2 linked regions of the Danio rerio genome follow. The protein of the gene in region 1 purifies or fractionates together with the protein of each later gene. This does not show direct contact. Links are inferred from orthologs where the notes say so. Each region holds a gene or a part of one and is shown on either strand. Other genes may lie near its edges.

What was found.
Region 2: the proteins of git1 (region 1) and nck1b purify together in Homo sapiens (affinity purification with mass spectrometry; 4 studies listed by BioGRID and IntAct, with this or other methods). This does not show direct contact. The link is inferred for Danio rerio from reciprocal best matches to the Homo sapiens genes GIT1 and NCK1.

Annotation. Positions count from the first base shown.
Region 1 is NC_133190.1:30,983,499-30,989,790, forward strand, and holds the start of git1 (ARF GTPase-activating protein GIT1), read right to left. Parts: upstream 4,005-6,292; 5' UTR 3,553-4,004; coding exon 3,501-3,552; intron 1-3,500. UniProt on the Homo sapiens protein: GTPase-activating protein for ADP ribosylation factor family members, including ARF1.
Region 2 is NC_133199.1:3,691,739-3,697,986, reverse strand, and holds the start of nck1b (SH2/SH3 adapter protein Nck1), read left to right. Parts: upstream 1-2,333; 5' UTR 2,334-2,371; intron 2,372-3,536; coding exon of another isoform or gene 3,537-3,613; intron 3,614-5,153; coding exon of another isoform or gene 5,154-5,198; intron 5,199-5,367; coding exon of another isoform or gene 5,368-5,439; intron 5,440-6,248. Other genes in the region: wdr37 (WD repeat-containing protein 37), read right to left, coding at 1,357-1,498, 2,099-2,333, 3,537-3,613, 5,154-5,198, 5,368-5,439. UniProt on the Homo sapiens protein: Adapter protein which associates with tyrosine-phosphorylated growth factor receptors, such as KDR and PDGFRB, or their cellular substrates. Maintains low levels of EIF2S1 phosphorylation by promoting its dephosphorylation by PP1.

The sequences.
Region 1 (6,292 bases):
TGTGGGATTGGGCTGGTTAATCGACGACTGCTAAAATGAAGTGTTGGTTTTCTAGTTACAAAAAAAATATTTTTTTATTTAAAATAGGGCTGGGCAATTTGGACAAAAATCAAAATCTCGACTTTTTGAACATTTTAACTTGATTACCATTAATGAACAATTATTTCACTTATTTTTTTTGCCCTCAGAGTTTACTGACGAGTTTTATTTGCTGTCTAAAAGCATCTCTGGCGCAGCTTCCAATCATCGTCAATAAAGTGCAAAATAAGGCTCAAGAACGAGTCCACCGTCCTACTTAACCAGAGATCAGATGTGGCTGCAAAGTGGCCACAGAAGAATAAATTAGCCTCAGAATTTATTTTATTCGGCTCCATCACTTGGATTTCTGTTTTCCACAATTATCAGCTTAGCTTTACATGTTCTACATTTTAACTTAACTCGCTGTCGGAAACCGGTGAAAAATGACTTCTTAAAAAAGTCTATTCACTTCTAAAGGCATTTATTTTATTCATGTGAACTAAACTCCCACATTCATCAAAAATTAAAATGGATTTTTGAAGATGACAGTTTTTTTTTACTGAAGGAAAGGCTTATTTAAATCCAGCAAATGTTCATTTTACAGCCAAAAAAATTCTAGCATGCAGAGAAGAACCTAATATTTTTGGGCTTAATTAAAAATAAATCAGTGCCATAAACTTGTTTATTGGTCTAAATATGAACATTAACAGAAACGAAGCCAAGCACCTGTGTGTGGGAAAAATCAAAGATGATGCCAACTTACACCCTCATCCTTTCTAAAAGTGCTTCATAACATTAACAGAAGCATCTTCAAACCCGAGTTTCTCTTCGCATCTAATGAAATTACACACCACTCGCTAACACACACACACAGACTCTTCACACAGGGCGTCATTCAGCCCTCAGTGACCATGCAATTGACAATCTTCCCCACATTCATTCATTCCAATAACACATTTACCAGAATACATCCGTCTGTCTGCCCACCATCCCTCCACCTCCTCCTCCTCTTCCTTTCTCAGTCATCAGTTACTTGCCTTCAACACACTTACCATTATCTACATTCCAACAACATGTTAAACACGAAAATGACAAGCTCTAGTGCACTGCAGTAGTAGAGGTCAATCGATGTTGGATTTTGTTAAAACCGATAGCTAGATAGACCATACTTACTGATAAATTATTAATTAAACGATAAACCTTCAAATTAATACTGAATAACAAACTATAAATCAACAGAACACCATGTAAAATAGTATTGAACTTAATTACACACACACTAACAGATAAATTCAGATGAAGACATGCATTGAGATGACATACTTCAAAACGTAAAAATCGATTGTGCTTTAATTATTGTTATTATCAATGACATTTGTAAACATTAACAGCTTAAACTAATCTCAAATCAATTTGCTGCTAGGTTTAACATAGTGTAATAAAAAAAAAACATGCATGCACATGTTGTCAGTGATTTTTGTTTCTAGAAACCGCTCTTGCCATAAATATGTTGGCTCTTGCACTGTATGACTACTATCGGTGGGGATTTTTGTTGATAACTGAACCCACAGGCATCGGTGACAGCTTTTGGTCGAGCTCACAGCAAGACTGCAGGTAGCCAAAGAGGTGAAACAGAACTAAACTGTCAAAAACAAGACACACTTGTACATTTGTGGAGAGCAGAGAGCAGCTGTGGATGAGAGAGCAGCTGTCATGCCCCCCGTACCACCCCTCGGTCCCCCCATGGGGACGGTGAGACTAAATGAGCAAGGCCAAGGGTGGGCTTGAAGTGACGGCACAGCTGAGCAGCATTTAAAACATGTTTTGTAAACAACTGAAGGCGGTCTTGTGTCTTTATTTGGTTGGTTTAAGCTTGTTGGTAATTTATTGAGCAATGCATTTGAGGACAAATGGCTGAGAACGACATAGTTCCTATTTATTTAAAATAAAAATGCTATAGGGAAAAAGAGGGAAGTTGACCCTGGTTTCAGGAAATTGTGTCTTAAGGCATGCATGATGGAACTAGAAATGGCTATAAATAATTTAAACCTATGCTCTATTTAGGACAAACCCATTTAGTAACTTTGAAAAGAAAAAAATCTAAAAACATCTTAAATTTGTATATTACCGCTGATAGATTTCACCCACTGCTCATAATTATTACAGAAATATGGAAATATGTAGCGATACGTTTTAAATGGCAGTTGTGCTAAAAACAGTTTAAGCTGGTTTAAAGCTTTTAGGTGGTGTCCAAGTGGTCAAACTGGTCTGTTGGCTAGTTTTAGGTGGGTTTTTAGGGACTTTTTAAGCTGGTCATGCTGAGAGACCAGCTTGGAGACCAGCTACACAACAGCTTGGCCATACTGGGAGACCAACTAAGACCAGTAAAATAAAGACCAGATTTAAGCATTTTTTCCAGCATTTAAATGCAATACTATCAGTTAACTCAACATACTATCAAATTATTCATAGTTTTTCTATAATAAAAGTCTATTACACATGTTTTAGTGCATTGACTACAATTTGTCAAACCAAAGTTAAACTACGGTTAATGTAGCATATCGTTAATTTAAGGTTAACGTTACCATGCGGTAACTACAAAAACAGTTTGTCTAATAATATTTTAAACCACTATTAATTTTATTATAAAGAATAACAAACACAACCGTTATCTAGAAGCAATTCAGTGGACAAGAGCAAACAGAAGCGAACACTGACCCACGTCAGAGTTAACGTTAGATGTGTCCTGTCAACCTGCTAGCGCTAGTTAGCTATCTATCTATTCTCAACCCATGTTCATACTAACTAAATTCGCAAAAAATGTACCGAATATGTTTAAGTAGGACCTCTTGCAGTCATAAAAACTGATTCTAAATACACAAACGTGTTTTACTTAAAACTGGGAAGAGACTCAAATGAGAGTCCGCAGGCTACTTAGCAACCAAGCCTAGCCTACTGACAGTTAGCATTGTTCGATATATAGAGCTTTCAGTGCGGAGTATTTACTAAAACACAATTTAAATATATAGTAAGCTGTCGCTACAATATCTGCATATAAACAAATCTAAGTGTGGAGTAAATATGGTCATTTTAATTGACAGCACCTCGCAGGCTTGTCAACTTAACTTGGGATGGGTGCTAACAACGAGAAGGGGTAAAACTTTAGCCACGGCAGCAAAGCAGGAATAAGCAGTCCAAATTTAAAGTCATGCAAGTTTTGTGAATACACTAAAAGATTGTACTTCTTGAACAACCACTGTTCAACCGCATTACAAAGATACATATAAGTTAAGAGTGCGTTTAAAATCTGATTTGTTGGGCCGCAGAATCGGCCTTAATTTTAGGCATTTTTCCTGGCGCGCTTAACCCAGTATCCCTTCGCATACGCGGGCTTGGTACTCCTCCGCAATCCGCCGCGGTCAGGCGAGTCCCGGACAGCCATGGCTCACAACAACGCATTGATCCATAAATCTCAGCCTTACCTGGTGCACTGCAGTCGGCGCACACCTCGCTTCTCTGGACTTTCCTGGACATCGCTGAATCAAAAGCTGCTGCTTCCAGAAATTTTAGTCCAGTGCTGAAGATATCTGGTTTTCCTTCCCTCCAGGAGCGACGTCTGCGATTTTAATGCCGCCCCGAAATGTCCGGAAGCCGGCGACGAGCTCTCCAGTGCTCCCGGTCCTCACCCTTCTCTCTCTCTTTCTCTCCTTCCTTTTTCCTGCGGTGTCTTCTGTCGTGCCGCTACGAGGACTTTGCGATTCCCAAAGATGAATGAGATTTTCAGAAGGCCCCTTACGTTATCAGATTTCGGACGTAATCAGTTTAATTTTGAGTGGCCCCCATAATCTTTTTACCCCGATCATTATCCAAGCCCGTCTCTTAGGCAAAAGGGGGTGGGAATAAGTAAAGTATGGATACTGTACACGGTTTATTTACATCCACTGCCCCATACACTTCTGTATGGCGGGCTGCATATCCCTCTCTCTGACGTCTGCCTCTCGCTTTCTCTCTTTTGCCCCACTGTCGTCAGTGCACAGGCGGGGGCCGACCCAGCAGAGGGACCCTGCAGTCGTGCCCACCAGTATGGAGATGAATTTTACATAACTTTAATTACATGCCTACTATCTCCTAATAGGCTTTAAAAAAATTTAACTCAGTAAAAAGAAAAAAAGTTTGTTTCTTCTGAATTTTTACTTTAAAATAACGTGTTTCTAGAAGGAATATCATCTCATTAATATATTTTATTTATACTAGTCCTCCACATTCGATTCTATTTATTCCTTCATTCATTTTATTTTCAGATCCCTTTATTAATCTGGGGTCGCCACATTGGAATGAACCACCAACTTATCCAGCATATGTTTTACGCAGTGGATGCCCTTCCAGCTGCAACCCATCACTGGGAATCACCCATACACTCTCACATTCACTCACTGACAATTTTGCTTACCCAATTCACCTATAGCGCATGTCTTGACTGTGGGGGAAACCAGAGCACCCAGAAGAAACCCACGTAAACACGGGGAATGCCAAATGACCCATGCAGCCGAGGCTCGAACCAGCGACCTTTTTGCTGCAAGGCAACAGCGCTACCCACTGCAGCACAATGTGTTGTTTTCTTGGCCCAATTTACATTAGCTCATTCCAATACAAATCTTCAAACTATAAGATAGAAAAAGAAAAGTGCATATACTTTTGGGGTTTGGTTATTATATTATATGTATAGAAGTCCAAAGACACGTATAGATAAATTGAATAAACTAAATTGTCTGTAGTGTATGTGTGTGAATAAGAGTGTATGGGTGTTACTGGGAAACTCACACTCATTCACACACAAACACTACGGCCAATTTAGTTTATTGAATTCACCTATAGCGCATGCCTTTGGTCCAAGGAGGAAACCAGAGCACCCGGAGGAAACCTATGCGAACATGGGGAGAACATGCAATCTCCACACAGAAACACCAACTTACCCAGCCAGCTGGGGCTCAAACCTTGCTTCTTGCTGTGTTGTGACAGTGTTTAACACCAAGCCACTGTGCCACCATGTTTGAGGTTATTGGCATACATTATTTTAAACCCCTCTAATGAAGAAAGGAACAGTATAGTAGCACAAAAGACTAACAGGTTTTAATACTAAGAATTTAATAAAACTCCTCCAGACAAATGCACATAAGTTAAATTATTCATAAACTTCATTCATTCATGCATTTTCTTTTCGGCTTAGTCCCTTTATTAATCATGGGTTACCATAGCAGAATGAACTGTCAAGTTATCCAAAATATTTTTTTACGCAGCGAATGCCCTTCAAGCTGCAACCCAACACTGGGAAACACCCATACACACTCATTCACGCACATACACACATTTTTAACTTACCCAATTCACTTATTGCGCATGTCTTTGGACTTGTGGGTGGAACAGGAGCACCCGGAGGAAACCCATGCTAACACGGGGAGAAAATGCAAACTCCACACAGAAATGGCAACTGACTCAGCTGAGACTTGAACCTGCTACCTTCTAGCTGTGAGGCAACAGCATTACCCACTCCCTCTCATAAACTTTTCCTATTAATTTATTTCAGTTGTTTTTTTTGTCTGTTTTTTTTTAGCTGATCTGACCTTATTACATTGACACAATGTAGTTCAGCCAAAAATGTAAATTTACCCACCCTGCTTTTATATCCTTTTCTGTTGAACACAAAAGAGGATTTGTAAAATAATGGTAGAAACCTGGAAACTTTAGAAAAAAATATGGAACTCAGTTGTTACAGGTTTTTTATTCATTCATTCATTTTTCTTTGGCTTAGTCCCTGATTTATTGGGGGGTCGCCACAGGGAAATGAACTGCCAACTATTCTGGCATATGTTTTCCAGCTGCAACCCAGTACTGGGAAACAAAGACAGTGCTAATCAGCCATACAGATTTTCAACATTTTTTTAAAATAACATTTTAAAGGTGTATAAAAAAAGAAACTGGAAGGGCATCCGTTGCGTAAAACATGCTGGACAAGTCGGCGGTTCATTGTGCTGTGGCGACCCCTGATTGATAAAGGGACTAAGCCGAAAAGAAAATGAATTAATAAATGATGACAGGATTTTCAAGATTGGATGATGAAATATCCCTTAAAGTCCATAATATTGATCAAATCAGCACAAACAACATCCCTTTCTGTTCTATTAGGCTGTTATCTGTAAAACAGAATTACAGAATTGACTTAGTAGGCTACTAAGACACAGATGGCAGCACAAAATGATTACTCTATATATTCTCT
Region 2 (6,248 bases), on another chromosome or scaffold:
CACTATTTTTAAGATTTTTTTTCATGTTATTATTTTTTGTTTATATTTTAGTTCATATAATTTAGTATTTATAAGTTTTTATAATTATTAAATATTTTTTATTTAATACATTAACAATAAAAAAATATTATTGCTATTACTATTTCTACGATTATTATTGTTGTTGTTATTATTATTATTACTACTACTACTACTACTACTATTTATATTATTGTTATTATTATTGTTGTTGTTGGTATTATTATACGTTGTAGTAATTTATAAAATTAATAAAGAACAATTAAAAAAATAAAAATTTTATATTTAAAATGTTATAATAATAATAATAATAATAATAATAATAATAACAACAACATTGTAATAATTATTAAAATTAATACATTAACAATTAACAAAAGAAATATGTATTTTTCATTTAAAAATATTGTAATAATAAAATATAAAAATAGTAATAATAGTAGTAATTTAGCTTTTAATTCATTATTTGTTTTAATTCATACATTTTTTTTCATTTTTTGTTAAGTTTGCAAATGTTATATTTCACAAATATTTTCAATATTATTCACAACATTTTAATAAATATTCCAATATTTTATTTCACAAAAATGATCTGAGCAATTTTAATTACTATAACGGCGCCGATATGCATCACCCAAAACATATTTCTAATCACCATCATGACAAACGTATCATATTTTGCTTAATTTGTATAAATGTGCTACAGACAACAATAAATATAAAAATGATCTAAAATTACTATTCTGTTGATGCATTTTAATTTTTAAAACTAATTTTAGTAATCAAAAAGCTTGTAAAAAACGTCATAAAATGTATCAATTAACAGATATTTATTACAACTTTTTTATTATTATGGTAATAATAATACATAATATAATATATACAAAATTTTAAAATAATATTTTAGGATGCATTGATTTTTTATCACATTGTGTTTGGCGTTGTAATTTTAATATCTTAATTCATTCATTTTTTTTAAAGTATGTTTAAATAATAAAATCATAACACTTTAAGAACTGAAAATGTTATTAAAATATGACTATGGAAAACATTTTGAAAAAATATTCATAACTTTATCTATGGTCTAATACAAAAATATGTATTTATTTAATAAATATATAATATTTATTAAAATATAATAATAATATTTATTATTGTTGTTGTTATTATATTATTATGTCATATTAAAAAATATTATACCATATTATTTCTATAAAAAGCACTTTAATTTACTCTAATATTAATATTTTACAAGCATACAGTAATTTAAAGTGACACCAAATGTTCATTTTGGCAGGTTGTTTATATGTCGACGGTCAATAAGATGATGTGACTCACTCGGTGTGGCCCTGGAAGACATTGACTGAGTGGATGGAGGGATCTCTGAAGTCCCACAGGCGGAAGGTGGTGTCTCTGGATGAAGTGACCACCAGACGCTGAGTCGGATGAGTGCAGCAGTGGGTCAACTCCTGATCGTGACCTGCAAACACACACAAACAGGTAATGGTGAGGGTTAGAGCTGGGGTAGAGGTTGATACAATACAACTGAGTTGTAGTTGAGGGTTTAACAAATAATAAACAAGGCAACTTTATTTATATTGCACATTTCACACACAATGGTAATTCAAAGTGGTTTACATGAACAAGAATAAAAGAAACGAGTATAAGAAATAAAAAACAACAAATATTAAAAACTGGTGGCTCAGTGGTCGCCTCACAGCAAGATCACTGGTTTGAGTCCCGGCTGGGTCAGTTAGAATTTCTGTGTGAAGTTTGCATGTTCTCCCCATGTTGGCATGGGTTTCCTCTGGGTGCTCCGGTTTCCCCCACAGTTCAAACACATACGCTATAGGGGAATTGGTGAACTAAAATGTGTGTATGAGTGTGTATGGGTGTTACAGCTGGAAGGACATACACTGTGTAAAACATATGCTGGAATAGTTGGTGGTTCATTCCACTGTGGCGACCCCTGATAAATAAGGGACTAAGCCAAAGAAAAATGAATGAATGAATTAAAATATCCATAATAACTCTCCTTAAACACATTAGTAAATGTTGATTTATTTCTCCTCATGTTCACCTGTCAGGGTGTGCACCAGCTCCGAGGTCTCCACATCGTACAGGTTTGCGGCTCTGTCCCAGGACGCAGTGACCACCTGCTTTCCTCCCACCAGCCAATCAGCGGCGATCACCACGCCTTGGTGGCTCTTCAAGGTGGTTGTGGCCACGCGGATGGTGGGGCATTCATTGGGTCCATCAGCGTCGCCGTCTGCCTCGTCTTTATCAGAGAAATCCACGTCATCGTCCAGCGAGGCCTGAGTCGCACAGGAAATGACAAGAGCAAATGTTTGAGGTAATTTGATTTCATTACCATTTCAGCATCTCCAGCTGTTATTATGACCAGAAAAACTGATCAAATTGACAAACATTTCATAAAAAATAAAACACTTTTCTATAATTAAAGGGTTTACAGTGCACAGGATAAATGAGTACACCCTTTACAGATCTCGCTTTTACATTCATATTATTTTCTATAGGATGCTTCACAATATTATACATATGGTTCTGTGGGTGGGTGAAGCAGTGGCGCAGTAGGTAGTGCTGTCGCCTCACAGCAAGAAGGTCGCTGGTTCCAGCCTCGGCTCAGTAGGCGTTTCTGTGTGGAGTTTGCATGTTCTGCCTGCGTTCGTGTGGGTTTCCTCCGGGTGCTCCGGTTTCCCCCACAGTCCAAAGATATGTGGTACAGGTGAATTGGGTAGGCTAAATTTTCCGTAGTGTATGAGTGTGTGTGGATGTTTCCCAGGAATGGGTTGCGGCTGGAAGGGCATCCACTGCGTAAAAACTTGCTGGATAAGTTGGCGGTTCATTCCGCTGTGGCGACCCCGGATTTATAAAGGGACTAAGCCGACAAGAAAATGAATGAATGGTTCTGTGGGTCTCGTCTATCAAATCTGAGATTCTGTATTGGATTTAGGTCAGATGATTGGCTGGGCCATTCTACAGCTTGATTTTCTTTCTCTGAAAGCATTTGAAAGTCTACTTGGTTATGGATCATTGTTTTGCTGAAATGTCCACCCTGGTTTCATCTCCATCATCCTGCTAATGTAGATGTTGGACTGAAGCAGCTGATATTCATTTACACTGAGGAAAAGCAGAGGGTTACTGAAGAACTACTGAGAGATTTCAGCTGCTGTCTGGGCTTTCCATGCATTTCCACACCTCCCTTCATGTGTTCAATACTTTTTACCTGTTTCGTTTTATTACACAGAACATTTTAGTATTACTAAATTGTATATTTATTATTACTAATATTACACTTACTGTTAACTAATTAGTTTGTGTGTACTGCGTTTGTGTGTACTGTATGCATTTGTGTACGCATCTGTCTGCCTTTGTGTGTATGTTTGTCTGTACACGTGTGTCATATGCGTCTAAGTGTATCTGTCTGCGTCTGCATGCGCGTGTGTGTACGCATGTCTCTGTGGGTGTTTGTGTGTGCGTGTGTGTTTAATACTCACGCTGATGTCTGCTGGAGGCTGTGGAAGTGGCAGTTGTACCATGTAACGCCAGATGTGAGCCGTCTGGTCCCCGGACGCTGTCAGGAACAGACAAAACAAACACAGAGGCAACATTAGCAAAAAGAAAAAAGCACAGCCATTGATCAAATCACATTTAAAAGCATCTGGGAAATACAAATCTATATGAAAGAGAGAAACATCTCAGTCTTAATGCAGTACAGCCCTCAGTCATGAAATAACTCCTCATTAGCAGCATCATGAGAGATCAGCAGACAATCACACACAGTTGAAGGCAATATTAAAAGCTCTCTTGTGAAATTGTAATATGTTTTTAAATCTATCCCGAGCACCGTTCAACACAGCAAAGGCATTTTCACAATATTTTTATAACATTTGTTATTATTATTTATTCATTTATTTCACTTCGGCTTAGTCCCTTTATTCATTAGGGGTCGCCACAGTGGAATGAACCGCCAACTTATCCAGCATGTTTTACACAGCTGATGCCTTTTCAGCCGCAACCCAGTACTGGGAAACACCCATACACTCGCATTCACACTCGTACACTACGGCCGACTAGATTTCTTGCGGTGCGGAGATAAATTTCCGAAAGAAGCGCAGGAGCGGTCGGTAACTGGTTTAATTTTGTACAGAAGCTCGCGGTCTAACAATATCACTCCTGACTCCTGAGCGAGCAAGCACGCGTATGTATGTATGTGTGTGAATGAGACAGCCTGATGCTGCGCTTAGCTTGTTTCTTGCTGTGTGTGTGTGTGTGTGTGTGTGTGTGTGTGTGTGTGTGTGTGTGTATATGAAAGAGAGAGCTTTGTGCTGTGTGTGTGTTTATGCGTGAATGCGTGAATGAGAGAAAGAGCGTGATGCTGTCTGTGTGTGTGTCACTTGCTTGGTGCTTGTGTGTGTGTTATAGTTTGTTATAGGCTGTCTGGACTCTGTATAGCTGGGGGGTTTTCGCTTTTGTTCTCCCCCTCGTCCGTTAGCGAAAATGGGCGCAACGGGTAGAAAACGGGGCGGGTTGGGCAGAGGGACAACAAATGCTAAATATAAGCGGGAGCGGTCGGGTTAGGGCTAAAACCTGGCGGGAGCGGGATTCAAAATTTAGTGCTGCGCAGATCTCTAGTTTGGACTGTGGGGAACACCAGAGCACCTGAAGAACACGGGGAGAACATGCAAACTCCACGCAGAAATGGCAACTGAGCTTGGATTTAAACCAGCGAAATTATAGAAATTAAGTTGCATTTATTTTTAAAAATATTTTAAAAATCTTAATTTAAAATTCAGACAATTGAGATTTTTCTGAATTAAAAATCCGACATTTTTATTTCATTAGATTTAAGCATATTCTTCTCCTTCAATTTTAACCATTTACAGATAGACAGACGAATATTACTGATCTGTGATATAAATGAAATAGGCGTTCTTTACAATCCAGTTGCTGGATTATATATTCTATACTGTGGAAATTGTTATTGTCAATTGATCATTTTAATAAAAATACATATTGATTCGTTTTTCACCAACATATATTAATAAACAAGACACAGAAATATAAGACATTGTGTAAAAAAAAGCAAACCATTAAAAAGTTTTTGTGTATACCTGTAAGCGCCATCTGCTCTGTGGGATGGAACTTAATGGAGTTCACTGCAAAAACAGACCGTAAACATTCACTGTACACAACAATCACCAATCCTACAGCTCGTAAAACCCTGAAAATAATCACTTTCAAATGCAGGTTCACAAAATTAACACTTTTGTAAAGTGTTAAAGGCAGAAATGTTGACAGTCTGTGTACTGGTGAAAAGTTTCATACCTGATCCAGCGTGACCAGCGTATTTTAGTAGACACTTCCCGGTCTCAATACTCCACAGCATAGAGCAGTGATCTGAAGAGAAAAATAATAATAAATCACATACAGAGAGAGCTTAGCGCTCATCTGTGCTTTAGCTTAAATGTAATCATGATCACAGTTCAGGAAAAATAAAATAATATTCTATAATGCTACTGAAATTAATATAAACACTTAAATATATATTTATATACAGTTAAAGTCAGAATTATTAGTCCCCTTTTGAATTTTTTTAATATTTCCCAAATGATGTTTAACAGAGCAAGGAAATTTTCACAGTATGTTTGATAATATTTATTCTTCTGGAGAAAGTCTTATTTGTTTTATTTCGGCTAGAATAAAAGCAGTTTTTAATTTTTTAAACACCATTTTAGGGACAAAATTATTAGCCTCTTTAAGCTATATATTTTTTCAATAGTCTACAGCACAAATCATCGTTATAGAATAACTTGCCTAATTACCCTAACCTGCCTAGTTAACCTAATTAACCTAGTTAAGCCTTTAAATGTCCCTTTAAGCTGTGTAGAAGTGTCTTGAAAAATATCTAGTCGAATATTATTTACTGTCATCATGGCAAAAATAAAGTAAATCAGTTATTAGAGATGAGTTATTAAAATTATTATGTTTAGAAATGTGTTGAAAACATCTGCTCTCCGTTAAACAGAAATTAAGGAAAAAAAATAAACAGAAGGGGTGATAATTCGGACTTCAACTGTACACACACATTTACACAAGTAAATAAATAGAATCAATAGTAGGCTAAAACAATCTGGAAATCTGCGATGTGGGTCTACCAATGATTCAATTGTCGAAGAATATCCACAAAATCGATGGAAATACCGCCA